Linked DNA regions of Notamacropus eugenii. The protein of the gene in region 1 purifies or fractionates together with the protein of each later gene. This does not show direct contact. Links are inferred from orthologs where the notes say so. Each region holds a gene or a part of one and is shown on either strand. Other genes may lie near its edges.

Region 1 (15,731 bases):
AAAATGATGTCCAGAAAGACTATGCTATTCCAAAAATCACGTAGGTCCTAAGTGGCAGAGTTGGTATTCAAAATCCAGTTCACTCACTTCAAATGCAATACCCTGTGTGTTTCTGAAACACTTCATAAGCTATTTGTTACTAAGATTTGTTGTTCTTTAAATATCAGTCTTTTAAAAAAAAACTTTTTAATGTTCATCATCACATAAAGAAAACAATCTAAAATTAGAATTACGGTAGTATAAGGTTCAAGTATAATCTAGATGAAGTGGAGTTTGGGAAGGGACCTATTGTTGTTGAACCTATGGGCTTTAGAGAGTACTGGGTTTAAGGTTTGGGGAATGACAAGGAAGAAAAGAAGGGAGGGAGGGAGGGAGGGAGGGAAGGAGGGAAGGAGGGAGGAAGGAAGGAAGAAAGGATTTCTAGCCAGTAAACCCCAAAGGAAGAGGAGAGGGAGACAGAAGGGAGATGATGAGCTGGGTGCCTACTCAGGCATCTCCATCTACTCACTGGTTGTGTTCCTCCTTCATTTCCAAAGAAGACCATGACATCAGAGAAATAGTGAAATGACTTGCACTTGACTTTGTTTTAAGTGAGGGAGGGCTGTGCAGATCACCAGCCTCACTTCTCCTCCTGAGCCATCTGAATCCATTACTAGATATTCATCAAGATGACTGAAGATGGCCCAGGATGCAATGGGAGACCTTAGTCTTTTTAGGCTGGGCCTTGAGTGCTTATCAATAGTAACAATTTCTGTTTCCCTCCCATTTTGATTTAGTTATTTTTTTTTCCTTTGGCCCATTAAAAGGGCTATCCCCTGACTACTTCTCAAAGAGCTCTGTCCACTCAATGGGTGTTACCTCCCCCTAAGTGAGCACAGGAAAAGGCCAGCCTAAAAAGGACAAGGTCTCCCAATGCATCCTGGGCCATCTCTTGTCATCCTGATGAATATCTGGTCACTGGATTCAGATGGCTCTGGAGGAGAAATGAGGCTGGTGAGTTGCACAGCCCTTCCTCACTCAAAACAAAGTCAAGTGCAAGTCATGTCATTATTTGGCTGATGGTCCTCTTCAAAAACCAAGGATGAATACAAAAACAATAACAACAATCTAGACTATAAAACTTCTTCAATTTATGTTAAAGCACAATAACATTTAGCATGAGAAAAGACTAGACAACACTGATCTGTTGCTGGCTCTTAAAGAAAAACACTTTGATAGTATACAGTGTTACTTATCTACTGAAAAAAGCAAAAGACTGCATTCTGGTAATATTTCGGGTCGCAGGGAATTTAAGGGCCCCAGAGTTATATTATTTTTTCTTATTAACATTGTACAGTGGAATTCTTTTTTTTTTTTATTTAACTTTTAACATTTATTTTCACAAAATTTTGGGTTACAAATTTTCTCCCCTTTTATCCCCTCCCCCCCAAACCCAAGCATTCTAATTGCCCCTGTGACCAATCTGCTCTCTCTTCTATCCTCCCTCTCTGCCCTTGTCTCCGTCTTCTCTTTTGTCCTGTAGGGCCAGATAGCTTTCTTTACCCCTTAACCTGTATTTCTTATTTCCTAGTGGTAAGAACATTACGGTTGATCCTAACACTTTGAGTTCCAACTTCTTTAGCTCCCTCCCTCTCCACCCCTTCCCTTTGGAGGACAAGCAATTCAATATAGGCCAAATCTGTGTAGTTTTGCAAATGATTTCCATACTAGTTGTGTTGTATAGGACTAACTATATTTCCCTCCATCCTATCCTGTCCCCCATTACTTCTATTCTCTTATGATCCTTTCCCTCCCCATGAGTGTCGACCTCGGATTGCATTCTCCTCCCCATGGCCTCCCCTCTATCCTCCCCCCCACCCTGCTTCTGCCCTTGTCCCCCACTCTCCTGTATTGTGAGATAGGTTTTCATATCAAAATGAGTGTGCATTTTATTCTTTCCTTTAGTGGAATGTGATGAGAGTAGACTTCATGTTTTTCTCTCACCTCCCCTCTTTATCCCTCCACTAATGAGTCTTTTGCTTGCCTCTTTTATGAGAGATAATTTGCCCCATTCAATTTCACCCTTTCTCCTCCCAATATTTCTCTCTCACTGCTTGATTTCATTTTTTTTTAAGATATGATCCCATCCTCTTCAATTCACTCTGTGCACTCTGTCTCCATGTATGTGTGCGTGTGTGCATGTGTGTGTGTGTACTCCCACCCAGTACCCAGATACTGAAATGTTTCAAGAGTTACAAATATTGTCTTTCCACATAGGAATGTAAACAGTTCAACTTTAGTAAGTCCCTTATGACTTCTCTTTGCTGTTCACCTTTTCATGGTTCTCTTCATTCTTGTGTTTGAAAGCCAAATTTTCTTTTCAGCTCTGGTCTTTTCATCAAGAAAACCTGAAAATCCTCCATTTCATTGAAAGACCATTTTTTCTCCTGAAGTATTATATTCAGTTTTGCTGGGTAGGTGATTCTTGGTTTTAGTCCTAGTTCCTTTGACTTCTGGAATATCCTATTCCATTCCCTTCGATCCCTTAATGTAGAGGGTGCTAGATCTTGTGTTATCCTGATTGTATTTCCACAATACTTGAATTGTTTCTTTCTAGCTGCTTGCAATATTTTCTCTTTCACCTGGGAATTCTGGAATTTGGCCACAATGTTGCTAGGAGTTTCTCTTTTTGGATCTCTTTCATGCGGTGTTCTGTGGATTCCTTGAATATTTATTTTGCCCTCTGGTTCTAGAATCTCAGGGCAGTTTTCCTTGATAATTTCATGGAAGATGATGTCTAGGCTCTTCTTTTGATCATGGTTTTCAGGTAGTCCCAGAATTTTTACATTGTCTCTCCTGAATCTATTTTCCAGGTCAGTTGTTTTTCCAATAAGATATTTCACATTATCTTCCATTTTTCCAATCTTCTCGCTATGTTCTGTGATATCTGTCTTTCTCATAAAGTCCTTAGCATCCATCTGTGCCATTCTAGTTTTGAAAGAACTATTTTCTTCAGTGAGCTTTTGAATCTCCTTTTCCATTTGGCTAATTCTGCTTTTGAAAGCATTCTTCTCCTCATTGGCTTTTTGAACCTCTTTTGCCAATTGAGTTAGGCTAGTTTTCAAGGTGTTAATTTCTTCAACATTTTTTTGGTTCTCCTTTAGCAGGGAGCTGATCTGCTTTTCATGCTTCTCTTTCATCCCTCTCATTTCTCTTCCCAGTTTTTCCTCCACCTCTCTAACTTGATTTTCAAAATTCTTTTTGAGCTCTTCCATGGCCTGAGCCCATTGGGTGGGCTGGGACACAGAATCCTTGATTTCTGTGTTTTTGCCTGATGGTAAGCATTGTTCTTCCTCATCAGAAAGGAAGGGAGGAAATGCCTGTTCTCCCAGAAAGTAGCCTTCAATAGTTTTATTTCTTTTCCCTTTTCTGGGCATTCTCCCCAGCCAGTGACTTGACCTCTGGATATTCTCCTCACACCCACCTCGCCTCCTGGTCCTCCCAGCCAGCATTTGGGGACTGAGATTCAAATGCTGCTTCCCGCCTTAGGGCTTTTGGCGGGGGCAGGGCTGCTATTCAGTGTGAGAATTAAGTTCAGGTGGTCAGGTCGGGGCAGGGCCACCTCTCAGGCTCAGTTCCCTCAGGGGGTTTATGCACAGACCTTCCACAATGGATCCAGGCTCCTGCCCGCTTGGGGAGCCCCTGTCTGCTGCCGCCTCTCAGCTTCTATCTCCCGGGGGGGCCTGAAATATGGGGGCACCCCACTCCCCTCTCGACCCGCCAAAGAGACTCTCTCACCAACCCCCGTCACCTGTGGGTGGAGGGGCTTGTGCGGCCGCTGGAGATCCCGTCCCTGAAGCCTGCTCGGTTCTGTACCTCTCGGAGCCGCGGCCGCCGCAGGTCTGGGCTGGGTTCTGCGTCTGTAGCGTGACGGACTTTTTGCGAGAGGTTTGCAGGTCCCTCTGTGGGTGGAGGGACCCGCGTGGCCGCTGGAGATCCCGTCCCCGTAGCCCGCTCGGATCTTTTCCTCATGGTGTCACGGCCGCTGCAGGGCTGCCCTCTGCTCCCAGTCCCGGCGCCCAGTCCGCAGCGCGAAGGACCCCCCGCGAGAGGTTTGCAGGTCTCTCCGGAACAGAAATCTCCCTCGCTCCAATATTCCGTGGCCTCTGGGTGCAGAATTCACCGTGAGTTGGTCCCCTGTAGCCGTTCTGTGGGTTGTGGGTTCGGAGCTATGTGTATGTGTGTCTTTCTACTCCGCCATCTTGGCTCCGCCCCCTGTACAGTGGAATTCTGAGGCTAAAAAGCACTAAAACAGAATGGAGTCTTTCTTAAATTCCATTCTATGTTCTTTAGTTACTGAATTACCGAAAAGGGGATCATAATGATCTTCATGTAGAGACCATATAACATAGCCAGTTCCCAAGGACAATGAATGGCCTGATGAAGTCCTGGTGTGTTGGGGTTTTAAAGTTAGTCTTATAAATATGTGGACATATCCAATCAGGCTGATATTTTCCATCACATTATTCTGTGGAAGACTGCATGAGCTCTAACTTTCTCTACTAATATCTATATCAAAGGAATAGCAAAATGATAAGCTAGCACACAGCAAGAGAATTGGACAATGTGCAGTCTTATCTGTAGTGGCTACAAAAATGGCTCATGGGGAAAACAGGCTGGTAAAAGTTTTTTTTTTTAACTTAGCAGTTTCTAAAATTGTTCATAATACTGCCTTAGGTAGTTCCATGCATCTCCCCAGTTGCCTTGCCTTGTCATTTAATGCTAGCCACAAGTGGTACTAAAAATCTAGTTCACGCAAGACTGGATTTCCCATCATTTTAATACATACGTTACTAAATCAATTCTAAATGATTCCTTCCTTTCCCAAATTCTTATGCATTGATATTTCACCTTTGCCACACACTTAATCACATCCTAACTTCTATGACAGTTTTGTGTATGAGAGGCAGCATGGTGAAGTGGACCCAGTGGTTGTCATTCATACCACAGTACAAAGGTCCTATGCTTGGAACCATAAGTTAGTCAAACCAGTGGCTGTGATTAGTATAAGTCAAGGCTAGGATTTTTCATTAGAATAGGGGAATGAACAAGGTAAAAAAAACCAGGGCAATTCTGGAGCACGAGGGCAAACCTGGAAGGGATCAGGGACATTACGTAGATGGTGGCAATAGGACGCTGAGCATTTGGAGAAGAAAGAAGCAGAAGATAGGAAAAGGGTTCAAAGAAGGAAGAAGTCAAGACATACTTTGCAATTTTACTTAACACTGTGGCAGTAGGTCTTATACTACTGAAAATCAACTCACACGGTGCCTATGGATGCCAATGCCTGAATTAAGATTAAAGACTAATTCTGAAGACTGCCAACCTCAGCCTTACCTAGGTTGGCTTAGGTCTCCATTTCAGCTCAATACTTTCCTGTCAAAATAACAGTTGCTCCTCTGTTTGGAAGAGGAAAAAGGAAAAAGGAAAGGAAAAAGAAGAAATGCAGAGTCATTTATTCCTCAAATACTTATTAAATGTTATGTCCAAAGCATTGTCCTTCATGCCAGTGAGGTATAAAAAGACCATCTAAAATACAATTCCTACAAAGAGCTTATATGTACCCAAATACAGTTTAATAGAGAAGTTCAATGGGAATTCAGAGGAAGAGCTGCTTCACTGGGGAGAGCTAAGCCATTTGAGCTAGATACTGAAAGATGGGTAGGAATAATGTGTGGAGCTGGCAGGGGAGGGCAATTTAGGGAGTAAATGTGAACAAAAGTGTGGAGAAGTAGGGAAACGCTCAGATGGGGTTACGTCCAGCTTGAGTAAAATCTGGCTGAAGGAGAATGAAGAAGCCTGTCTGCACTTACTGCCTCCACCTCTGTTCCTTTTACGCTTTTCAATTCCTTTGCAAAACGGCTTCTGTGCTTATTATCCTCCTTAAGCTACAATGATCCTTTACGGCCAGACTGGATGACCCCTTCTCAGTCTTCAGTCTTCTTGTTCTCCCTGTACCATTTGATACTCTCTCCTGTCTAGGTTTCGGTGAGACTCTTCTCTCTTGGTTCTCCTCCAGTCTGAACCCTCCTCACTTTCTTTCACTGGATCATCATCCTAGTCACACCCCTAATTGTGGGTGTACCCCAAGGCTGGGTCCAGGGGCCTTCTGATTGATTTCTCTCTTTAATCTCTCACTTGGTGACATCTTCATCTCCCATGGGTTCAAGTATCATCTCTGTGCAGGTGACTCTCAGATTGAGCTAGAGATTCAGCCATGGTCTCTTGAGCTTTAGTCCCACATCACTAATGGCCCTGTTACCCACTTTGAATTGGATATCTCAAGGACATTTCAAAATCAATTATGTTCATTACCTTTCCCCCAAATACGTCTCCCTTTCCCAAACTTCCCTATTACTGTTGAGGATATTATCATTCTTCCAATGACCCAGGTTTATAACTGGAGTATCATCTTAGACTCCTAACTCTTCCTTGCCCCACACATTCAATCAATTGCTAAATTTTGGAATGTTTATCCTTACATCTCTTGAAAATGACCCCTTCTCTCTACTCAGGACCAAGTTTTGATATTTGTTTCCTCTTCCCTGGACTCACATAATACCCTAAATGGTCTCTCTCCCCACCCCAATCCATCTTATATACAGTACATAGCCCTCCATTCAACAAATCATGTCTATTACCTCTAGGATCAAATCTAAATCCTGCTGGGCACTTAAAGTGTTGTACAAGCAGGCCCTTTTCTATCTCTCCAATCTCTGTGCATAGTACTCCCCTCCATGTAATCCAACCTTACCCGCTTCTGTGCTGTTATTCACATGAGATTTCCTCTACTGTTACTGTCTCTCACGTTCTCCCTCATACTTGCCTGCTGGTATCACCAGTTTCCTTCGACTTATCATAAGCACTACATTCTGTATTCTGCTCCCTCTAACAGCTAATACCTTTCGATTCAAGGTTGCCTTGAGTCTGCTTTATTTGTGTATAACATACACCCACATGTTGCTTTCTTTCTAGTGTAAGCTACTTGAGGACTATTGGTTTGTTTTTGTTATTGTATGCCAGCTACTACCACAATTCTAGTTTATTTAACAAATTACACACAAATATACACAAACCTTGAGTGCCAGGCTAAGCATGGCCTTTATTCAGAAAGTAATTTGGTGCCTTTGAAGAAATGTTTTAGTTAGAATAATTGTGCAGTAAGTGGTTAGAACCCCTTGGAAGCGGAAGACATAGAGGCAGAATTTAAGTTAGGAAGTAGTTATTAGACTGCGAGCTCCTTGAAAGCAGGGGCTGTTTTTTGCCTTTCTTTCCCAAGTGCTTAGCACAGTGGGGCAATTAGGTAGTGCAGTGGATAATCTGCTAGGCCTGAAGTCAGGAAGACTCCTCTCCCTGAGTTCAAATGTGGCCTCAGACACATATTAGCAGTATGATCCTGGGCAAGTCATTTAACTCTATTTGCCTCAGTTTCTTCATCTGTAAAATGGGGATGATACAGCGCTTTACCTCTGAGAATTGTGAGGATCAAATGACATAATTGTAAAGCACTTAGTATAGTGCCTGGTACATAGTGTGTTGGTCCTTTGTTGCAGTAGAAGACCATGCCATCAGAGAAAGAATGACATGACTTGCACTTGACTTTGTTTTGAGTGAGGGACGGCTGTGCAGGTCACCAGCCTCACTTCTCCTCCAGAACCATCTGAATCCAGTGACCAGATACTCATCAGGATGACTGGAGGTGACCCAGGATGAGGCAATTGGGCTTAAGTGACTTGCCCAAGGTCACACACCTAGTGAGTGTAACTCAGGTCTTCCGGACTCCTGCACTGGTGCTCTATTCACTGTCCCTCCGGTACACACCAGTGTATGAATGTTAAGTTACTATTATTAACTTCTGTGAATGCAGCGTGTTCACCATCTTTAGGTACCATCGTAGATGTTCTAGAAGCTTTGGATCTGTTTCTTTTACAACTTTATGGAGTATGAGCTAAAACTGATCATTTATTTTATTGGAGTTTAAAAAAAAAGAGTCAGTTTTAAAAATTCAATTTAGAGTGAAAGAACACACTTTGAATGCCTTCTCTGTTTATGTTTTGTTTTCTGAAGGCCTTCTTAAATGACCTTTCCCCAAATGACTTAATCTCCACTGCCTCTGGGGATGGCAGGTTGGCACAACTGGCATTTCCCTGCGTGTCTGCCCGGCAGGAAGCACCAGGAGTAGGACTGTGTGTCCTCAAACGCCCCCACCCCTTAATAAAGAGTCCCGGTCCAATCCACGATCGCTGAACGCGGATAAAGGACTTTAAAATGTTCAGGTTTGCTCGAGGGCGTTGGCGCAGGGCCCCTGCTGCCCTGGGCTGGCTTCATACAGGGAGCCCGAGGTCCTGGGTTCAAATTTAGCCTCTTACCATTCACTACCTGCCTGACCTCCTTAAGCCTCTGTCTTCTCACCGGTAAAACGGTCTCTTCAGCTCTAAATCTTCCCCGTCACCCCCGCCCTGTCTGCGGAGGGCCCTCTACGTCCGGCCTCCTAGAAGCGGAGGCAGCTCTCCTGAGCCTCGGCCCGCACCGCCCACCGCCGCCCGCCCGGGGCTCTCACAAAGTCCCACAAGTCCCACCTGCAAGCCGCACGGCGGACAGCGCCCACCGGACCACCTTCTGCACATGCGCCATCTTCCGAGGGGGTGGGTTCGGTGGGTGCGTGGAGGAGGAGGTGGCTGGCGCGCGACTTCGGGATTGGGCGGAGTGGCGCGTCTTAGGAGAAGGAGGAGCCGGGGAGGAGGAAAGGGGCGTGCCTTAGGAGAGCGTGCGGCTGCTGCGGTGGGTGGAGTGACTTCGAGGAGCCCGGCTCGGCTGTCTGTGATAGGTCGAGCTCCGGCGAGGGCTTTCAACTCCAACTTTATTGACAGCCTCGCAGAGAACAGAGTTCAAAATCAATCTGATGACCATTCCGCACTAGTAATAGGTTTTTCTAATAGCAGACTCTCCACCCAGCCTGATAAACAGTAGTGGACCCTGTTAGGAACCGTTTCTCAATGACTTCCCTCAGGCTCTCCTTCCTGTCGCGCAGGCGCGGCGGCGATAGGCCGCGGACTGGGGTCAGAGCGGGAGGGCGGGGCCTAGGAACTTGTGTGTTGCGGAACCACCGTCCCACAGTCGGAAGTTCCCTTGGGCCGGCTCGGCTTCGTAGTCGAGCGGCTTCCGGAGTTTCCTCTTCCGCTCCATGTGAGATCTGGACCGGCAGAGATGTCGAAGAAAAGTTTACGGGGCCGGCGGCGGCGGATCCTGGATCGCTGCCTGAAGGAGCTGGACACTCACACGGCTCATCCGGAGCAGTTCCTCACGTAAGCATCCCGTGGTGCGAGAGCTCCGGGCGGAAGGCGGCGTGGAGGAGGCCACGCCACGAGGCCTCGGCTCTCGATCTCGCCCCTGCCCAACGGGCTCATCCGGGGTGAAGGGAGGGGGAAGGATGGTTTCTCTTGGTTACCCCGGCGTCGCAGTCCGCTTGGAGGTAACTTTTGGAGCGCTGCCTCCTTACGGCTCCAGACGGTCCCCACCAGATCCCTCGTGACCAGGAAAGGCAGAAAGACAGCCCCTGCTTTCCGGGAGCTCACAGTTAATGCACCCATGCGCTGTCCACAGAGGGAGGAAGGCGTGGAGTGGCCGGAAAGGCTGCCCTGAGAAGGGACAGGGGCGGGAGGGGCGGCCGGGGAGGATGGCCGTGGTCGGGGACAGAGAGGGTCTCTGAGATAACGAGTCCCCGGGGGGAGGCCACCCGGATCGGCCAGTCCTGCTAAATATCCATGCGAGATGATGGCAGAGTTTTCAAGGTCTCATCCCAATTGGAGATGTTTGTAAAGGTCTTTCTTGTAGACCAGAAGATAGCTCGGTTCCCGTAGGTCTTGGAGTAATGGGTCCTGGGGGCAGAAAGACACGTTTGAACTCCTTGTAAGAGAGGACATCTGCTTGATAGAACTGTCTAAGAGTGGGGTAGGCTTCCCCAAAGAGTCATGTATTAGAAGGTTCCCTTGGTCTGCACGCTCTCCGACTTCCATCCTTGCCTTCTGTGACTGTCAGGACAGACCCTTCCCTTCCCTGAGGAGGCAGTCCCATAGCTAGGAGTTTGGAGAGCCTCCACTGTCCTGGAGCATGTTCTTAAGAGGGGACTTGAGATGTGACGTCCAAGGATTAACTGAAGCAAGTAGGGCTGTTTGGTCTAGAGAAGATCCAATGAGTCAACCTCAGCTGGCTGCAGCCCTTGTGTAACAGGGATTAAATTTATTTTACTTGACACCAGAGAACCAAACCAGAAACAGCAGGTAGAAGGTGAAGGGAGAAACCTTAAAAATCAGAGCTGGTCAAAGTAGGATGAAGTAGTGAGCTCTCCACCACCAGGAAAGTTCAAGTGGAATCTAGGTCCCCATTGGTCATATTGTAGACAGGCTTTCTGTTCAGGTAGAGGTGGGACTGGATGCCTGAGTGTTCTTCAGGTCCTGGGAATCTGAGCTCCTTTATAAGGAAGGTAAGAGACCTGTTATACTTTGTTAAAGCAAGCATCCTCCATCTTTGGGAGACTTAGTGGATGACCTATGTAAGAACTGCAAAGGATAAAAAGGCTTAGATGGGTTGTAATCTCTACAGTGTACAGAATCTGAACATTATTGATCCCCTTTCATAAGCCACCACTGTTTTAGTATTTTATGTTTTGCATGTTATACAAACACCCAATAAGTGCTTAGTCAGTTCTGTGCACAACGACCACAACTAGTGATTATTAGGCATCTACTTACATGCCAGGCACTATGCTAAGCAATGGAAGTACAAAGACTGTGCTGCCCTCAAGGAACTCAGTCTAATGGGGGTGGGGATTAAGAAGAGACAACATGCAACAAACAACTATGTAGGAAATAGAGATGGGTAGAGAGAACTTTGCAGGCATGGGAGGCAGCCAGGGAAAATGCATTGAGTATGAAGTGTCTTGTGTGAGGAAGAACAAGTAAGGCATAGTCACTGGATCATAAAGTTCATGGAAGGAAGTCAGGTGTAAGAAGACTGGAAAGGTAAGAAGGAGCTAGGTTATGAAGGGCTTTAAAAACCAGAGGATTTTCTATTACCTGAAGGTAATAGAAACTCACTGGAGTTTATTGACTTAGGGGGTGACTTGGTCAATTCTGCTCTTTAGAAAGATCACTTTGATTGCTGAGTAGAAGATGGATTGGAGTAGGAAAGTTCCTGAACAGATTGATTGGGATAATGGTAATAGAGGCAAGTGTGGCATGAATAACTGAATCTTTTGCTTTTCTCCAAACTTTGTTTTATTGTAGATTTTTTTTAACATCCTCCCTCAACAAACTTTTACAATAAGTTACTGAGTAGCAAAATTTCTCTTAATTTTACCACTCCAGAAAATGTAGTGGGCATGTGGTTATGTTTAATCCATTTAAAAAAATTATGAGTATACGGCTCTTTTCTGTGGGTGAAGAGTTAGAAGTTGAGGGGAAGCCCATCCATGGGGAATAACTGAACAAGTTGTGGTGTGTGGAATATTCTTGTCCTATAAGAAATGATGAGCAGGATACTCTCAGAGAAATCTGGAAAGACTTACATGGGCTGACAAAAAGTGAAATATATTGTGTGCAAAGTAACAGCAATATATTAAGATGATCAGCTATGAATGACAGCTATTCCCAGCAATACAGTTATCCCAGTCAACTCTGAAGGATTTGTGATGAAAAATGTTGTCCACCCCTGTGTTGCAGACATGGGATGGAAGCTGGGGCTCTGCCCACCCAGGGACACCAAAAACTGTTGTGGTTTCATGATGTGTTATCTCAAAGAATTCAGAGTCAGACCACCTCTGATCTAAGTATAGGCATTTATTGAGGATTGACGCCCCTTTTGAAACGGGCTGGGTTCCAAGAAGAACTAGCAACTTCAGTGAAAGCAAGATGGATTTTTTTAATAGGGTAAAGATGTAATTACACAACAGAAATTATGAACATTAAAAAGTCAGGAGGGATTTGTTAAGGGATTAGATAATGGGGAGGGATCTCTTCTATGGTTTGGTGGTCAAACATCCTGGTCTTGCAGCCCTTTATTGGCTAGCTATTGTGGTTGTGTCTGGTCAAGATAGATAGGTAGGTATTGTGGTCCTCTCCTCTGCTAAATGGATGATGTGATTATGCTTGAGATCAAGAACACACCTGTTCAAATATGTGAATTGGATCTGGGGGTGGTAGCTAGTTAGGGGCAGTATCTATATTGAGTCTGGGGGCCGTATAGTATGGTTAAAGTCAGATTGTGTGGTTAAATTAGGACATGCTTGCTGTTCAATGGGCCCATAAAGAAGTTAGATATTGGGGCTGGTGGCAGCTTTATTAGGATTCCATCACCCAAAGAAAGAACTGATGATATCTGAATACAGATTGAAGCATCCTTTTTTTAACTTAATTTTTCTTAGTTTTTTTTTTTGTCTGTGTTTTCTTTCACAACGTGACTATTAATGGATATGTTTTGTGTGACTATACATGTATAACTTATGTTGAATTGCCTGCCTTCTCAATGAAGGGGGCTGGGGATGAAGGAAGGGAGAGAATTTTGAACTCAAAGTTTTAAAAATGGGAAAAATAAAATACTAAATAAAGCCTAAAAATGTGACTATAAAAATGTTGAAGGTATTATTTTAAATTTATTGACGTTTTCTTCCCTTCATAGTGTTCAAGATGGATTGGCTGTAAATTTTATATCTTTAACAAAAGCCCTTTTTGATTTACATAAATCATTCAAGGCCGATGCAACTCTTGGGAGCCCTTTAGAAGAATTGGTGATAGAAAACTTTGATGATGAGCAGATTTGGCAGCAGCTGGAATTGCAGAATAAACCAGTTTTACAGTACTTTAAGAAAGCTGTTATTGCCAATGTTAAAGACAAGGAACTCCGTCTTCTCCCAGAGAGTGAAGAGGTTGACTCAGAGATAGACATTGACAGTGAGGAGGAAATAGAACAGGATTCGAAGCTGGAGCAAAAGTCAGATCTAGTTCATGATGGTCTTGAAAAAGACAGTAAGAGAAAGAAAAAGTTAAATAAAGTTGATATGGAGGAACGTTCAGATTTTAACGATGAGGATTCTGACCTTGACTTTGACATTGATAAACTCGAACGTCAAAACAAGAAGCCAAAAGTATTTATTAAGTCAAAAGAGAAATCCATAGTAGATGATAAATTTTTCAAATTATCTGAAATGGAGTCCTTTTTGGAAGATATGGAAAAAGAGAAGAAAGAAAAAAAGGAAGATGATGAAGATGATGTTAATTATTTTGAGGAAATTATTTCTGATGAGGATGGTGACCTATTTACAGACTCTCCAAAAAAGGTAAAGTTTTTCTTTTGTCTAGTGATTAAGTTTTGTCCTTTTCCTTTTGTGGATATTTAAAGTATCTTTAATATAAAAAGGACTTCCTTTCTCACAGTTCATTAGGACTCAAATGAATAATTCAGATATGTTAAAGCAAATAAAAATGACCCAAAAATTTTCACCAAACTCATCACTTTCTCATCCTACTTCATCTTATTCCCATAAAACCTCAACCAACCAAAATAGAAAGGTTAGGGCCTATAGCATTTAATAATTTTAAAGTACATTTAATATTTCTTTTAGTCTTGACATGGGTTTGCTTAATATTTGTTCTCATATTTTCCCATAAACCTAGTCCTTTCACACTTTGCAGTACCTGTCCGGAACATCACTTCCCTTCCAGTCACCCAGGTTGGAGACCTTGGAGTCATCCTTTACTTCTCAGCCGCTTTTATCCGACATAATCCAGTCAGTCACCAAGACTCGTCAAGTCTGCATTAACATCTCTTGGATCCAACCCATAAAGCTCCCTCCTCGTTCAGGGCCTTGTTGCTTCTTGTCTCTACTATTGTAGTGATTTCTCTGCTTCAAGTCTTTCCCTACCATTCCATCCGCTACTTGCTGCCAAAGGGATTTTCTTAAAGCACAGGTCTGACCATATCACTCCTCTGCTCTGTAAGCTGAAGGGCTCCTCATTACACTTAAAATCAACTACAGACTCCTTTGTGTGGCTTTTGAGACCTTTCACAACCTGGATCCACATCGGGGGTCTCCTTTTATATTCCCCTTCTTACCTTCTACAGTCCAGACAAACTGGCCTTGCTGTTTTCTCATTTATGATACAACACACTGTCCCCTCTTAGAGTTCACTACCTCTTCACCTCTGCCTGTTAGGATCCTTGGTTCCTTTCAAAACTTAGATCTTCTACATGAAACCTGTGCTCTCTGCTGCTGGTGTATTTCCCCTCCCTGAACACGATCTTCTATTTCTTTTGTATGTACATATGCGTAGCATATGTATACACACACATATATACATTTTGTTTCCTTAATAGATTATATGCTCCTTGAGACCAGAGACTGTTTAATTTCCGTTTCTGTATTCCTAATGTCTACCCAGTAAGTGCTTATCAATTGACCTTTGTTAAATTAAGAGATGTAGAATTCTTTATTCTCTTTTGCCAAATTTAAATATTTTTTTATGCCTAAAAATCAATGAATGATCTGTGTGCAGATCTTATAGGCTATATTTTTCTTTTACTCTTAAATGCTAATTTCAGTTAATAACTTTCATTGGAAAATAATTTTCAGCATGTAGAAAGTACTTTTAAAAAACTTATTTTTAAAGTTATTTTCTCTCCTTAAGCAGAAGATTTAAATGTTTTATTTTAGTCAGAAAAAAGTTCCAGAAACCTAAAATACAAAGATTTCTTTGACCCAGTTGAAAGTGAAGACACAGCAAGTGATAATGATGGACTGGGTCAGGATGAGGTTGAAGATGAGGATAAGGAAATGGATCATGAAGAAGAGGAAGACATTTCTGAAGAGTGAGCATTTTGAGTCATCCTTTTTAAGTTGTGTCATGTAATTTGCCCATCAGTTTTTGTCTGGTTTTAATGTGAGTTGTCATATGCTTCATTTAGGAAGGTGTTACTTTAATTTCACTCTAGAGAACCCATATGTGTAGATGGTGGGTGGAGATGGGCCAGCAATGGGGAGGGCTTTACAATAGCTTATGGTTTTGCTATATAGTTCTTTGATTTGGTTCCTATTTTCAATAAAAATCACTAATGTCAACATTGTATCATCAGTTGTTAGAAATTATGAACTATTAAGGTTGCTATTTGAATATATTTGTTTAAATCAGTGTTGAATATTAGTGTATTAAATGAATATTATGAAATCTTTTTTTAGCTATATGGGAATTAGTTTAAAATGATTCCTTCTTGATTTTTTATAAGTTTTCTTGACTTTGGAAGTATAGGAAATGTATTAGATTTTGAGGGTATGGTATATTTAAAATGGAAAAGTTTTATTATTGGAAAATATTTTTTTTTCCTTTCCTAGAAGATACATGTGAATAGTATTTCCTTTGCTAAATGTCTTGATGGTTTAGGGATGAAGAAGATGAAACTGAAGAAAATGAGAATAGACAACATGGAGCTGGGAAAAGAGTAACCTTTGCTTTGCCTGATGACAAAGAAATCCAAGACACAGATGCTTTCAGTGAAAAGAATAATTCTGATGGAGTCAAATCCTCTTTTGAACAAAGACAGGAGAAGGTAACGTATAGCCAATATATATTGTACAAAGAAGCAAAACATTTGGTTTGCAATAGCTGTGACTTGTCATTTCTCAATGTTGTTTGAGAAAATGC
Region 2 (15,265 bases), on another chromosome or scaffold:
GAATTCATGGGGGTGGGGGAAAGGACTTCAGCTCCAGGATCTGACTGGACCAGGCCCATGTTCTAGGTCTTGGCCACCGTGCTTTGGGAAGATGCTTGTAAAGTGCTAGGCACGTAATAGGCTCAGAATAAAGGTTTGTCCCTTTCCTTCCTCCACCTCCCCACCTTCTCCTCTGGAGTACACTGGTACTGCCCTCAGCCAGGACCATAGGGCCGCTGAAATTTTCTTGTTCCAGCCCCTGCCCTGCTCTTGGCTCCTGGCTTCCTCTCCCCCAGAGGCCCCAAATGGGAGTGCTGCTCCCAGGTAGTTGTGTCCCGAAAGCTCTCCAGCTTTCCCAGGCCAGGCCTTCCTCTGTCCCCCTGACTGCCTTGAACTGCCTCCTCCTCCTTTGAGCATCTCTGCCATCTGTGGAGAAGCTGCTCAAGCTGAGGCAGGAATGTTGGAGGCTCGGGTCACGTCACAGCCTGGGCTGGGCTTGGCTAGGCATCACTTCCTGAGACGAAGCTTTGGGGCCCAGGAGTCTCACTCTCCCTCCCAGCCTTGTCTTTCCTTCCCTGGCAGCTTCTCGGGGTTACCAGGTACAGCTCCCCTTCCCCAGCTATCCTGTTCTGTTTCAGTTTGTGATGGGTGGGGTAACTTAGTACCTCTTTCTACCCACCAATCCCTGTCCTCCCTGCCCCCCATGGCACCCGACACTTTCTCTTCCTCCTGAAGGTTGCAGCTAGATCTGAGTTAGAGGGAGGCCCCATTTCCTTCAGTGCTTAGCCCCCAGGCCTGGCTCTGCAGAGATGTCTCTAAACTACTGCCCTGCCCTCCCCCATTTCTAGGGTCCCTTGGTAGGTACAGGAGAGGGGGGCTTCATCTTCTATCACCCCAACCCTAGAGCCCCTGGGTACAATGGAGGCCCAACTTCCTAGTTTTCTGAACCCTTTCAGTTACACTTGGTTTGAGGTGGGAAGGTCCTGTTTCCCTGACTCTCCCCCCCAATTCTTGAGACAGTAGGATGAGGACAAAGCCTGCATTCAGGTGCCAGCTTGGCATTGGACATGTGCCTTCCCTTCTCACTGGCATCCTTTCCCTCTCTTAAAGGAGAGCTGGCTACATGCCATCTGACCTCTCAATGCGGGGTTGGTGGTCCATGCTGCTGCTGGCTTTAGGAGACAAGGGAAGAACTTTCCGCCTGCCTCTTGGCACTGATTCCTCCTAGGGGTCAGGGTCCTTTACCTGCCTTTCCACCCAGGTGGCAGAGGACAGAAGAGGGTGCTTTCAGCTCCCCATTCTTAGTTTTCTTTCAGGTTCTCAGTGCCAACCAAGTCATGGCTGCAACGTATGCCTCGGTACAGAAGCGAAGCCACGCTCCAGGCCCTGCAGCAACCTGTGAGCCTGCAGAGGCAGAGCTCGAAGCGGCTGTGTATAGCACTGTCAAACCCAGGGCCCTTAGGGGTGGGGCTGGGACCCCCACAGAATACACTCCGGTGGCCTTCCCCAGCTCAGCAGCCTTGGAAAGTCCCGCATGCTCCTCAGCAGGTTCTGGGAGGCCCTTGCTGTCCCTGGTAAGTGGCAAAGCTGGGGAGCAGGGCCATGCTGAGCAGGGCCCCACCAGGCCCCCTCCAAATACCTGCCTTCCTTTTCCCTAGGTTGTCGCACCCAGCACTGCAAGGAAAGGTAAGTATGGGACAGTAATTTGGAGTTGGCTGGAGGTGAAGACCAGTTGAGGCCTTTTAGGGGCTGGGGAGTGGGCAGTTCCCCAGGCACCTCAAAGCTTTGAACTGGGCTTCCATTGGATCTTGCCAACAGCTAGCACCCCCTCCAGGCACTGCCCTGGGCCTGAGGCCTATGAGGATGTAACAGACATTTCAGGTCCAGGCTTGGGTCCCAGCAGCCTCCAGCCCAGCACCACTCTTGGTGAGTTGACCCATAGATCACATACCTTTTCCTTTGCCATCTCTCCCACCCTCCCACACCTTCCTCAGATCTCAACCCTTCCTTCTTCCCATAGGCTTCAACATTCGAATTGGGAAACCAAAAGGTCCCCGGGATCCTCCAGCTGAGTGGACTCGAATGTAGGAAGCCTGTGAGAGTCCTGCCTTTGTGCCTGGAGCCCAGGCCCATTAAAGCAAACAGAGGGTGGCAAGTGGGAAACCAAATTTGAGTTCCCTTTTCACAATAAAGTTTTCCCCATCCTGAATGAGGTGTCTGTCCTTGTAGCCTTTTCAGTGCTTTTGGGTCCCGGGCCTACGTATACATGAATGCCCATGCCAATGGATCTTGGACTTGCGCCCTACTAAGCAACTATCTAGAGCTTGTGCCTCGGCGGTGACCTTGTAGAGTAGACATATGCCCATCCTCCCACCATACTCTGGCCTGACCTCTGAGATGTAGTTTTGTGGGTGGCCCTGGCAGGGGCTGATTTCTCCTGTTCCTGCCTAGGCCCTGAGCCTGTCCCAACTACCATCCCCCCTCCCAATCCAATAGCTCTGAGCATTTGATTCACAAGAATTTTCTGGTGTCTGTGCTTTGGCCAATGGCTAGCTAACATGTTTATATATGACCCAGACAAAAAAAAATAGAGGGCATGCTCATTAAATTAGCAGGTTACACTGACAATGGCCCAAGATATCTTGACAAGCTTCAGTACTGGACAGAATATAAAGAGGAAATTCGAGAAAAATAAGTGTAATCTCTTACTTAGGTTAAAGAAATATCTCTGCCCCAAGTACAAAATGGAAAAAACAGCTTTAGATAAGCAGTTTGTCTGAAAGAAGATGAAAGGGTCTTAGTGTACCACAAAGTCTACATAAGTACTCCATGTTGGGATGTACAAGAAAGCTGAGCTTCCAGGAGCTCATTGACTGCAGAGCCCTCTGGCCTTGTGAAGGTACAGCTAGAATACTACATTGAGTTGTAAGCCTGGTTTTTTAAATAGTGAGTTTTATAAAGTGGAAAGGGTGCGCAGGAAGCAAGCAGGCTGGAGAAGGCCTCAAGTTAACTTCCCAGGAGGCTGAAGGAAATGAGAATGTTTAACTTGGAGAAGAAATGCCACAAAAGAACTGGATTTGTCCTGCCTGGCCTTGAAGAGCTGAACTGGGAACGCTGAAAGAGCAGAAGTTTAGGTTTAATGGGAGAAAATCTTTTTGAAGGGTAAAAAGTCTCTAACTGGAACAGGCTGCCTTGGAAAGTCAAGAGCAACGACCCTCATTAGGGAGGTTCAGGGGGGATTTACCTATGGATGTGGGCTAGTCTAAAAGGCTATACTAAAAAAATAAAAATGAACACCCCTCCCCACACCAGGCAACCCTTCACTAACTCCTCTCCTAGGCTGTATGAGGCTGAGATCCTGAACTCAGACCCCAGCTGTCCAAGATTGAGCCTTGACCCAGAGTAATGGCTCCATAGTCTTAGGTTCCTGTGCGGAGGGCAAAGCCATTGTTTTCATCTGGCCCTGAGCTTGTGACCAAGAAAATGGCTCCTTGGGGCTCCCAGTGTCCACTGGCTTCTGTTCTCCATTTAGAGAGCCCTTCCTGTGTCCCCACCCGGAGAAGTTTTCAGTGCCCACTACAGGAAATCCAAAAGCCATGAGTATGAGGTCCCAGAAATGACAGGTGCAGAAGATGGGGAACTTTAACAACAGCAAGAGTTGGCTTCTCCCCAGGTAAGGCAGGTTTCCTCAGGTTTTGTCATGGGCTGTGGTCCAGTGCATGCTCTGGTACTCCTTTTTAGAAATCCTTTCCTAGATGCTGAGGAAGGTCCTCTTTCGGGCTGTGTGAGTATATGGGTGCCAGCGCCACTCCACATCTGCTGTGGCTTCATGCTCTAGTGTGCCTAGGCGGATCATGTACACTGCAAAACCAGAGAGAGGAATGTGCTTGGGTCTCAGGCTGAGTCAGGCTTAATCTTTCCTGACTTTGGCTGTTTCAAATTTGGACCCACATGCTCAGTTCCCTGGTCTGTTTTCCCCAGTATTCTTTGTACTCACATTTCATCTCAAATCTGGGCCCAACTTCTGTCAGCTCCACTGTGTTGTGATCTGGCTTCCGGTACACATGATGCCTAGAAGGACAGAAGGGATATAGATAACTTTGGCCCTTGGGGACATAGCTACCTACCTTTCTGACCTCCAGAGACAAGCCCAGATTTACCGAAAAGAAATGTAGTCATCCTGGTTAGCAAAGGTAATGACTCGGTGGCTATCATCCTTGGGTACTGGGAAAAGGTATCGGAGGATATTTGAGACCTGGGGAAGGATAACATGCTAGAGTAAGGGTCCTGATGAGGAAAACAGTGCGCTTTCTCTTCTCCCCTTTTGTGTTGCCAGAGACCATCCCCTTGATTATCAACTGTCTGTTGAGGTGATAGTTCTCTAGCCCCAGGACTTACTCGCTGTCCAAGGTGGGAAGAGAAACCATGGAAGATAAGGTGGGGAAGAGCCTCTGAAGCTGTACCAAGGTCAGGAATGTCATGGCGCATCACCACATTACACAGTGTGAAATATGCAGTAGGCCCAAAGGGCAAGTGGCTCACAATGAGGCCAACTGTTGGGAAAGACAAAGATGTGCTAAGTATGGAATATATTGAGGGAGCAAAAAAACTCCCTGAAACAGCTTCCCTCTCCTGATCCTCCATTGGCCACTTGGGCCCATCCCCTGTGCTTACCTGGTGTCCCTCGGTGCTCATGCACCAGCAGCAGATCTGTGACTCCATTGGCTTTACAAGCATGGACAAGGGCACCCATTTCATGTCGACCCCGGTTCATTCTGGTAGCACCAGGGAATATCAGCTTCAGCTCCTGGGTGAAAGGATCAGAAAGGACAAGAAGTAAGGCATTGGGATGGATCTCATCATCACATTTCCCTGATATCTACCGTCACTTGCTCACCTTGACAAACATCTTGAGCCGGGAGCTGGGGTCTCGAGATGTGGTGATCATGATTCTAGGGTCTTCTACACCTGCCCATCGGTATTCGTCGTCTTGGTGACTCAAGACACCTTTGGGAGGAGGAAGAAACAGAAGCGATCAATGACAGCTTCTTGGAGATCCTATGAGAAGGCGGCCCCACCCCTGGAGACTTCTCTCACCTTCCCCTCCAGCGCCATCAAACTCCAATGCCCTGTGGAGAGTCAGGGCCTCCCTTCGCACCTCCGTCGGGATCGGCTGATCGTCTGGAGGAAAAGGGAAGAGCCAGTGAGAAGACAAGAAAAGAAAGACAGGCGGGGGAAGGGCTGCAGGTCGGTGGGCCCGTGGCCTGGCCCTACCTTCCAGGGCTTTCTGGAGCCTCAGTTTCTTTTCCTGCAGAACATGCTGCTTCTTCTCCTGCACTCTGCGGTACAAATACTCCCGGCGCAGGCGGGCCTCGCGTCGAAGCTGCCAAGGGATTGTGGGGAGGGGGGCATCGCTAAGCCCCAGCGAGGCACTTCCCCCTCCCTCAGTCCCGCCGCCTCCCCAGTCTATCCCTCCAACCCTCAGCCAGGGGCTCTCCGGCCCAGGGGCGCCCTCCCACCCCAGGTGCCGCCGGCTCCCCACCCACCCCACCGATCCCCAGCTCGGACCATGCCTGCAGGCGACCTCCGATTCCCGTTACGAAAATCTCCTCGTGTGGTGCCCGAAGCTCAGCGCGCTTGCGCAACCCCACCCTCCCTTCACAGGCAGGGAGCGTGGTCAGGCCGAGTGCTGGCGGACCAATCCCCGCAGTCTTGGCGGACCGGAGGGAGGCGGGGCCCCAGGAGGGAAGGCCTCGCGAGAGCCAGTGAGTTCCGGTCCCCTTCACCTAGCCTCGGCCCGCCCCCGGCGCCAGCTTCCGCTCTGCTCCGCCCGGGCCGCAGGCTGGATTCCCACGCCCTCATTGAAGATGGCGCTCTTCGCGAGGTGGCTGACGGGTGCACGCTGATTGGCTGGCTGCAGAGGAAGGGGCGGGCAGCCGGTGGAACCCTTCTTTCCCTTCAAGATCTCCGCAGCTCTGCTGATGGCTGCTGAGGTTGCTGGGCTCCAGGGCCGAGTCCCGTCGGGAAGATCCCAGATTCAAGTCCTTCAGCGTAACAAACAGAAGCTGCTTGATCAGCGGAAGGTGGCTTGGATACGCTCTCTAATGTGCGGCGTCCAAATCCATGTTTTAGTCTTTATTTCATGCTGCCAATTGCTTCCAGCCCTTGGCTCTTCCTTACCCTGGCCTCTTCCTACCTCGTTTGGGAGGTATGGAGGCTACCAAGCTCAGTCCCCTTTTCCTGACATTTAAAAAGAAAAAAAATGCCAGCACTGTTACAGAACCAGGCAAAATCACACAGTGGGTGGAGGTGGCTGGAGGAAGGGATCACCAAAGGGGTGCTAAAGTTTGCCTGCCACAAAGCTAGGAAAACCATTTGTCAGGAACGTGAACAATAGATTGGTAGACCAAGACCCCTGACAGAACAGGCACATTCCGCTGTTTGTTAAGCCACAAAACACCAAGAGGAGGGGGGCAAAGATCCCCCAACTTCTACGAAAAGTGTAGGGAGAACTAGAAAATGCTGGCAGCAGTTGGGCTCAGACTAGTGGGATTTGCATCCTGTAAGCCCCAAATGACTTTCTGACCTAAATACCAAAGTATCCCCTCCCCACAAACCAGCTGATGCACCTTTTGATATTGCCACTTGAGGAGAGAATTCTTTTTATTTTTCCTCATGGCATGGTACTTATTTTTATTAGTTTGTTTTCAGTTTTCTACAATCACTTCTATAAATCTTAGATTTTCTTCCCCTTACTTCCACCTCCTTCCTCTCCTCCTTTCCCACTCCCTCCCCAAGATGGTGTGCAATCTTATATGGGTTCTACACATACATTCTTAGTAAATACATACTCACCTTAGTCATGTTGCATGGAAGAATTAGAATGAATGGGAGAAACCATGAGAAAAAGCAAAACAAAACATAAGAGAAAATGGTCTGCTTTGTTCTTTGTTCCAATTCCATAGTTTATTCTCTGGATGTGGGAGGTATTTTGCCTTGAGTCCATTGGAAATTATTTCAGTTGTTGCATTGCTGTGGAGAGCTAACTCTACCAGAAAAACTCCTCGCACATTGTGGTTGTTACTGTGTACAATGTTCTCCTGGTTTTGCTAAGGAGAAAATTCTTAAGTAAAATGTAGTATTATAGAAAGAAAGGTCCAAAGTTCTCCCTTGTCTTCTACCGCTCAAAAACCCCTTCACTCTTATCTGTGTGCCCTTCTGTGTTTGATTCTCTTGGCTTCTGGGACAGACAACCATTGTCAGCCTAATCTCTAGAGCTTATCCCAACCAAGTGAGGCTGGCTGGGACTGGCCTTCCTTGTTCCATAGTGGCCTTGGCCAAGCTCCAGGGCAACCTGCAGATGCACCTCAGCTGTTTACTGTTTGAATAAATATGGGCTGGAACAGGGAGTCAGCTTGTGGGGCTTGAAGGAATGAGCTTAAACTCTTGTAAGAGTTTTTCCAGCAGACAAAGGAATTCATTGAACAAAACTTGATTTGGTGACCATTAACTTTGAGGCTGAGGATACCTAGTGTTGGTCATTATTGAGTTCTTTCTAAAAAGACATAAAGAAAATTAAGCTGTGGGTGTGTTTACTTATCTGAAAGCTTGTGGAATGTACATATAGAGATACAAATGGGAATTCATTGTAGACAACAAATCCAAAGGTGGGCAGACAAAAGGGACCTTGCCTATCTTCAGAGCAATTTCCATTAACTCCTTCACTCATTCCTCCCTGCCTTCCTGACTCAGGATGCTGGTGCCAGCCCAAATTATAGTATCCATATGTGTTAACCATAATATGAGAAAGGAATTTCTTAAGTGGATAGATTGTAAATGCAACATGATAGGAGAATGTCAAAATATCAATTGAAATTATGGATCCAGACTATGCCCAAAGGGCTACAAAAATGTGCATACCCTTTGACCCAGCAATATCGCTACTAGGACTATATCCCCAAGAGATCATAAAAATGGGAAAGGGTCCCACATGTACAAAAATATTTATAGCAGCACTCTATGTAGTTGCCAAAAACTGGAAGTCAAGGGGATGTCCATCAATTGGGGAATGGCTGAATAAATTATGGTATATGAATGTAATGGAGTACTATTGTGCCATAAGAAATGATGAACAAGAAGACTTCAGAGAGGCCTGGAAGGACTTATATGACCTGATGCTGAGTGAAAGGAGCAGAACCAGGAGAACTTTATGCACAGCAACGACCACAGTGTGTGAGAGTTTTTTCTGGTAGACTTAGATTTTTGTAATAACACAAGAACTTCTTACAAAAAAAAAAAATCCCAATGGAGGATCTCAAGGCAAAATGCCTGCCACACTCAGAGGGAGAAATATGGAAGTCACTCACATATTGTAGCAGATCATGTTTGTGTATGTGTATGTGTTTGTGTATCATGTTCTGATTTGTTATACGATTTCTTTCATTTATCTTAGTCTGACTACATAGCATGACTATAGTGAAAATATACTCAATAGGAAAGTATATGTAGAATCTATACAGAATTGTATGCAGTCGTGGGGAGGGAGGGGGGTAGTGGGGAGTAGGTGGGGAGGGATGAAATTGCAATTGTATGGCAGTGATTGTTAAACATTACAAAATAAAAAAAAAAAAAGAAATTATGGATCCAGGATGTCTGTTCCTTTTATCATCATGATGTAATATAATATGTCCGTAAAAAACCAAGATAAAAAAAGTCCCATTATTCAAGATGCTGTCTGGTTCAAAGTACTTGGACTGTGGTTGTCATAAACAGGAGGAGGCACTTGCTTGGCTTCATTTGGCCTTGGAGTTGCTAACACAGGAAGGGGCATTTTGGGTTTGCCCTGAGAGCAAAACAAAGCATGTCTGTTATGCCAGAGAACACAAAGCATTATGGTAGGTTAAACTCAGAGTGGGCCAAAATGTCTCTCTTGATTGGTAAACCTGGGGGTTTTAGGCCTTTCTCAGGTCTTGAGGGTTCAAAATGGTTTGGGGAGGAGTCCACATGAGGTAACTAAGAAGGTTGAAAAAATGAAAGTATTGTGGAGTTCATGGATAGCAAGCCTAGGTCATGGGGGAGAGGGGGTTGGGTAGCTGGTGTGTTTTGTGTTCCCTAGTATGAAGTTGGAAGTCCTTGGAGAGGAAGGAAGGGGGAAGGTGCCAACACTTGTGTTGGCTGACAAGCTTGTATCATGGGAATCACAAAGGAGGAGAAGTTGCTGACAAGGTTGTAGGGGGTGGGGGTGCGATGCGGTGTTTCAGGGGGACCAGTGCCTGTGATGTCAGGACTTGCTGACCTGTTTTCAGAGCTGTTCACCTGCGGTGTTCCCCCCACTCACCTGTGGCACCAAGAAGCTGCAGCCATATCACGGTATACTCATCAGATGGGCTAAACCAGGTCTCAAAGCTGTCAGTGAGTTAGGACAATTCTAAAGAGGGATTCGCACCCAGGTCTTTATCACACCAATGTCTCCTCCCATGAGATGCGGAGGACACCACAGCACACAGGAAGACTTCGATTCCAACTGCCACTCTGGGCAAGTGCATTTGCCTAAATTTTCCCTTCTGTAAAATGAGAATACTGTAGCACCTGCCTCCCGGGGTTGCGAGGGTCCAATGAGATCATATTTGCAAAGCGCTTAGCGCATAGTAGGTGCTTCTTTCTTATTTTAGTGTCCCTGAGTCGGGCAGTGGAGTGATGAGCCCCAGCTCGAAAGAGACTGGAATGCTGTCATTGGGTGCGCCCCGCGAAGGCCCGACTGGGCGCCGGATCACCGCATGGCCGGGCCTGGCCTCAGTGACCTCAAGCTCGGGTTGGGAAGGCTGAAGAAACAGTGGACGCAGGCCTTGGAGCTACGTGACAGTACACCCAAGAACCTGTAGGGGGAGTTGTGAATCACAGCACTATAGAAAACACTACATACACAACCCGACATAACACACCACCTTCCCATATGGTCTAGCGGTTAGGATTCCTGGTTTTCACCCAGGCGGCCCGGGTTCGACTCCCGGTATGGGAAAGATGCTTTAGACTTTTTTATTTTCGGAGGCATCCAAGCCCCCCTGGGAGGACCCGGGGCGGACCCCACTTTGAGGCTTCACTGGCGGCGCAGTAGAGCTTGGGTCCAGGTGAAAAAGAGGGGCAGGTGAAACCCAGAGAATCCCTTCTTGGAGGAAGGGTAACTGAGGCAGAACGCGTGTCCGGACTGGGGTCGGGAGAAAAGAAGGGGTGGCAGGAAAAGAAGGCCACCCCAGGCTCATGCTGGGAATTGAAGCAAGCTGCCTAAGACGTGTCCAAGGCCATAAAACATTGCAGTCAAGCCGACCTCGTTGGAACATTCTCATCTGTAAAATGGGCCAGCGTTGCTCTCAACCTCCTGCCCTGGTTGTTGTGAAAGAGTGGAAAAAGCAGGCCCAGGGCCGGGGCCGGCTTTCAGAAACGTTGACAGCGCGGAAGGAGGAGGTGAAGGCACGTAGACCTTTCAGGAAAGTGGAGCCCCACCTCCAAAAGCACGGCCCCACCCCCCCAACCCCAACAGCAAAACTGGAAACATACACTTCCCACACCGGGAGTCGAACCCGGGCCGCCTGGGTGAAAACCAAGAATCCTAACCGCTAGACCATATGGGAAATATAACGATCCTGAGCAGCATATAGAAGATACATAAAGACTCGAGTAATCTGGCTCGTGTAGGCGGCAGGTTCCGCACCGCCTCCTGCTGGTGCCGCAGTGAAAGAACAGTACAGGCCCGGGCCCAGGCTCGGCAGCGCCCCCTGCTGGACTAGTAGTGACAGGACGTCCTGGCTCCCTGGCTCCCTCCCTCCCTTCTGCCCTCCTCCCTTCCTTCTGGTCCCCCCCATCCTTGCCTCCCTAGGGCATTTGGAGCACTCCAGGCCACTGGGAACTGGGCCTGACCTCAGGAAGCCCCAGTTCAAATGGCTCTGGCCTGAGCTGATTAAGGCCACACTGATTAATTAGCCTGCTAAGGGCCCCGCCCTCTGGGTGCTCACCATCTGATGGGGGATGCTGGCAATGCCGATGAATCCTGACTCTTTGTGGCCCCATTTGTGACAATGGCTGAAAAGGAGCTCAGAATGCCTCAAACATGGTGCCCTAAGGGCAGTTTGGGAGAAGAAAGGAATATATGTTGAATACTTGGGCTTTAATGGTTACAGCCAGTCCTTGATGCTTTCTCTCTGGGCTCCCACAATGCCCTTCCACACTGGTTGTAGAACAATGATTTCTTGATTCATGGGAATCAGCCCTCATTCTGGGCCTGCTTCAGGAGCAACATTCGGACTCACCTCCTTGGTCAGTCCCCCCCTGCTCCCACCTGACCAAGATTGGAATATGGTAAGAGCCCAGAAACAGTCAGGATATTAGGCTGGAGATCATGCTCCCCAATGCCTGCCTGTCACAAATGAAGAAACTGAGGCCAGAAGGGACAAAGTCAGGATGCAAATCCACATGATCTGGGAGGTTATCTGGGAGAAAGTTGGGTTGGTCAAGTGGCTGAGGCAGAGTGCCCTTCAAGCAGACTGTGCTTCCTTGTCCTTGGTACAATGCCAATTTTGTGGCCCCTAGGCCTTCAATGCCTCTACTATCTATGGTCATTCTCAAAAGATAGCCCCTGATGTCTGCACCTTTATATTGGCAAGATTTGTGCCTCAGCCGAGGGGCTTGGGGCTCTACTTCCTGCCCTGGGATCCCAGCTTGTCCTCCCCTCTCCCTCCAGCTTCTTATCTTTTACTCCCGGAGCACTACCATTGCATGGCAGACAATGGCTTGGGCTTGGACTCTGGGAATACTGAGATTCCAATGTTGTGTCATTTAATCTGATCTTCAAAAGACAAGTTTCTCACATCTTGAGGGTCATTGGGGCTGGTCCTCTGGGATGGACAAGGGCAAGGATCCTCCGTACAACACCTCCTGGGGGGACGTTCCTCACATGGCAAGCTCAGCTCCTCCAGCAGCTTTTCTGTACATCTGCCCATGCTGTTCCTAAGTCAAACATCATGCGCACTCCATGTGACTCATGCCATTTTCCCTCTTCAGACTACAAGGGCTCAGTTTCCCTATTTGAATCTCCTATGACCCTTCACCCTCTAGAGCTTGACAGCTTATGAAGTTCTTTCAGAAACTCTGAAGCCCAGAACTGAACAGCTGCCCAGGTGTGTGGTATGAGCAGGGATGCAAGCTGACCTCTCTTGTCCTGGATCTGAGGCCTCTCTCCTCGAAGCCTGGGATCAAATTACCTTTCTTCAGGCCTTGTTCTTTCTCTGCCAGTGATCACATCTTTCTCTGCCTTTTCTTGGCTCTCCTCCTACTTCCCACCCCACAGTTTGTATGCTAAGTTATTCTCTTTTCTCTCTCAACACCTACCTTTGGTAAGCCAAGTCATCTCTTGCTCCTACCTCTTGCCCCCTACCTGGCCTTTCACCTTGTGGTTCCACCTGCCTGCTGAACACACTCTGGAATCACAGGAACTGGGCTCCAACTGTGCTGTCCTTTGGGCAAGGACCCCGCTGCCGTCCACCTCATGGCTCTAGCCTTTGAAGCGCATTCCCTTCAAGATCCCTGAGAACTGGAGCCTACTGCACTGCTGGCTTGACCTTGAAAGCACACCTTACTCATGGCAGCCTCTGCATTCCCAAACCTTCTCCCCTGTGGCTAGAAAGAGCTTCCTCTCCAGCCCCAGCCAGGCCTTGTGTGACATCACTGAAATGAGGCTAAGCTCCCGGTCCTCAGCTTTTCCCATCTGATCTCGTTACCTCTGACCTTGCATCCCACCTATTTGTCTAATTTGTTCTCACTCAATGGACTATATGGTCTCTGAGGATGGAGTCCATCCATCATTGATACCCTGGCCCTGAAGGGCTTAATCAGCAGCCCTTGAATACTGTCAAAGAAACAATGTTTGTGTCCCCTTCCTCAGTCTTCCTTCTGTCACAATTGAAATTTAACAAAAGGATAAACTGAGGCAATTCTCCAAGCGAGATAACCTTTTATTAACAGGTACATACTGCCTGTCAATAAAGGATCACAGATTTGCCTCCATTTATGCCAAACAGCCCAAGCAAAGGAACAGGTCCCGTTATCTTGGTTCTGGGGAGCACAAAGAACCGAACAAGGTAGATAACCTCATGGGATTGAGGCAGTGTGACTGACTGGAAGTTTGGTCACAGGGGCTATCAAGACCCTCTTTCTTTTCTCAGGAAACTAGGGTGGGGGTGAGGGAGACTAGACAAAGTGACAGAAAGGGAAAGCTTGGAGCTAGCCAAACCCTGGGGCAGGGGAGAAAAAAGGAGAAGAAGGGGTTGTGCTCGGAGCTCAGTCAGGTGTAGACAAGTCATCTAGCCACTGGGCTCCTTTCCCTGACCTTGGGTGTCACCAACCTCTACCCTCACTTTCACTTGCACTAGGTGGGGTCTGTGCCTTCAGTCCTTCCCTGGATGGTGAAGACACTATGCTGTGACCTTCAACCTCCTCAAGGGGCCCAAAGCCCTGCATTCTCCCTGAAGCCCTGCCTCCTTGGCCCCAGGCCCTCAAGCCTTGCCCTTGTTCATTTAGACCTGGGGTGCCCGCCCTAAGCACTTGAGCATTCTCTCCTCAATTGCCTGTTCTTTAAGCCCTCAGTCTCTCTGTCTGCTGATGTGGGTGGAACTTTTCTGTGCCTTGGCAAACCTGAGCTTTCCCAGCCTCACTTTTTGGCATCTCGAGAGAGGCTGAGGACTAAAGGTGCCTTTATCCTGCCAGTTACTTACCAGCCCTCTCTGCCTGAAATGCCCCTACAACGCATGGGGTAAATCCTTATTTTCCACTTGGTTCCCCAACTCATGCAGGGCTCCCTCTGTCCAGGGCCCTACTGCCCCACTGGAGCCTGTTCTGATGTGTCTTACACATGATTAACTCAAAAACATAGGTAAAGCATGTAACACATGGAAATACATGTATTAACTTGAATAAACTGCATCAGTCACAGTGATTGTCATCATTGCTGCTGCAGTTGGCCTGGGAAAGCTGTCAACAGCGCCTTCCTAGATTTCAGTAGAGAACTGGCCAGGCTCTCAGGCTCTCCTTGTGAACAAGATGGAGAGATCAGGGCAACGTGATGGCTTTGGAGGTGATTAAGGAACTGAATTCTAAGCAAACACACTATAATACACTATAAAATTGTGCCTGCCCTTTGACCCAGCAATACCACTTCTAGGGCTGTATCCCAAAGAGATCATAAAAATAGGAAAAGGGTCCCACAGATACAAAAATATTTATAGCAGCTCTCTTTGTGGTGGCCAAGAACTGGAAATCAAGGGGATGCCCATCCATTGGGGAATGGCTGAACAAGTTGTGGTGTATGAATGTCATGGAACACCATTGTGCTGTAAGAAATGATGAGCATGACTTACATGAACCGATGCTGAGTAAAGGGAACAGAACCAGGAGAACATCGTACACAGCAACAGCCACAGTGTGTGAGGACTGACTTTGATAGACTTAGCTCTTACTAATGCAAGGATCCAAGACAACTCCAGAGAACTCATGATGATCCAGTAAAAGACCCATGTCTGAACGCGGAGCGAACCAGACTGTTTACTCTTTTGGGCCTTTTGGGGTTTGTTTTTTCTTTCTCATGGTTTCTCCTATTGGCTCTAATTCTTTACAATATGACTAATGTGAAAATAAGTTCAATGTTAATGTATATGTAGAGCCTATATCAAATTACACACTGTCTTGGGGAGGGAGGGGGAGAACATTATTAAAAAAAAAAAAAGATGATTCTTCCGTTTAGCTTTGGGCTGCTCTGCTTTGCATTATGAAAAACTCCTTAATTTGGCAAAAATCCATCTCTTTAGTCTCATACCACTTTTTTTCCCTATTTATTCAGGGGTTAAAAATTTCCCTCTTCTCTATAACTGATCTATGTATCTCTATCTATCTATCTACATACGTGTCAGTGCAAAAGGTCCTCAAGATTTTGGATTCTTTCCCTCTGTTCATCGATCCCTTACTAGTGCTGAGCACCTCGTAGACATTTAGCAATTGTACTTGTTGACTGACTGAAGACTTACCAAATTAGCAGACATCAGGCTGGAAAAGGTAGCAAATGTTCTGGACAACACCTGAGATGCCCACAGATCTTGACAGGCTCAGTCTAATAAAATGAAATTTAATAGGGACAAAAAAGTGGTACATTTGGGTGTTGAAAAATCTTCATGAGGACAAGAGGAGACAGGAGTAGACTATTGGTGGAACACACACTTGCTATGCATGGACAGCAATGGGGTGG

Evidence for each region.
Region 2: the proteins of MPHOSPH10 (region 1) and IMP4 purify together in Homo sapiens (affinity purification with mass spectrometry; 3 studies listed by BioGRID and IntAct, with this or other methods). This does not show direct contact. The link is inferred for Notamacropus eugenii from reciprocal best matches to the Homo sapiens genes MPHOSPH10 and IMP4.

Annotation. Positions count from the first base shown.
Region 1 is NC_092872.1:150,959,176-150,974,906, reverse strand, and holds the start of MPHOSPH10 (U3 small nucleolar ribonucleoprotein protein MPP10), read left to right. Parts: upstream 1-9,135; 5' UTR 9,136-9,246; coding exon 9,247-9,344; intron 9,345-12,714; coding exon 12,715-13,372; intron 13,373-14,746; coding exon 14,747-14,901; intron 14,902-15,470; coding exon 15,471-15,636; intron 15,637-15,731. Other genes in the region: MCEE (methylmalonyl-CoA epimerase, mitochondrial), read right to left, coding at 8,619-8,673. UniProt on the Homo sapiens protein: Component of the 60-80S U3 small nucleolar ribonucleoprotein (U3 snoRNP). Required for the early cleavages during pre-18S ribosomal RNA processing. Part of the small subunit (SSU) processome, first precursor of the small eukaryotic ribosomal subunit.
Region 2 is NC_092879.1:101,887,504-101,902,768, reverse strand, and holds IMP4 (U3 small nucleolar ribonucleoprotein protein IMP4), read right to left. Parts: upstream 5,708-15,265; 5' UTR 5,551-5,707; coding exon 5,548-5,550; intron 5,363-5,547; coding exon 5,254-5,362; intron 5,161-5,253; coding exon 5,077-5,160; intron 4,987-5,076; coding exon 4,877-4,986; intron 4,787-4,876; coding exon 4,654-4,786; intron 4,533-4,653; coding exon 4,378-4,532; intron 4,235-4,377; coding exon 4,140-4,234; intron 4,051-4,139; coding exon 3,977-4,050; intron 3,841-3,976; coding exon 3,731-3,840; 3' UTR 2,568-3,730; downstream 1-2,567. Other genes in the region: tyrosine-protein phosphatase non-receptor type 18-like, read left to right, coding at 437-578, 1,285-1,553, 1,638-1,665, 1,798-1,905, 2,000-2,067. UniProt on the Homo sapiens protein: Component of the 60-80S U3 small nucleolar ribonucleoprotein (U3 snoRNP). Required for the early cleavages during pre-18S ribosomal RNA processing. Part of the small subunit (SSU) processome, first precursor of the small eukaryotic ribosomal subunit.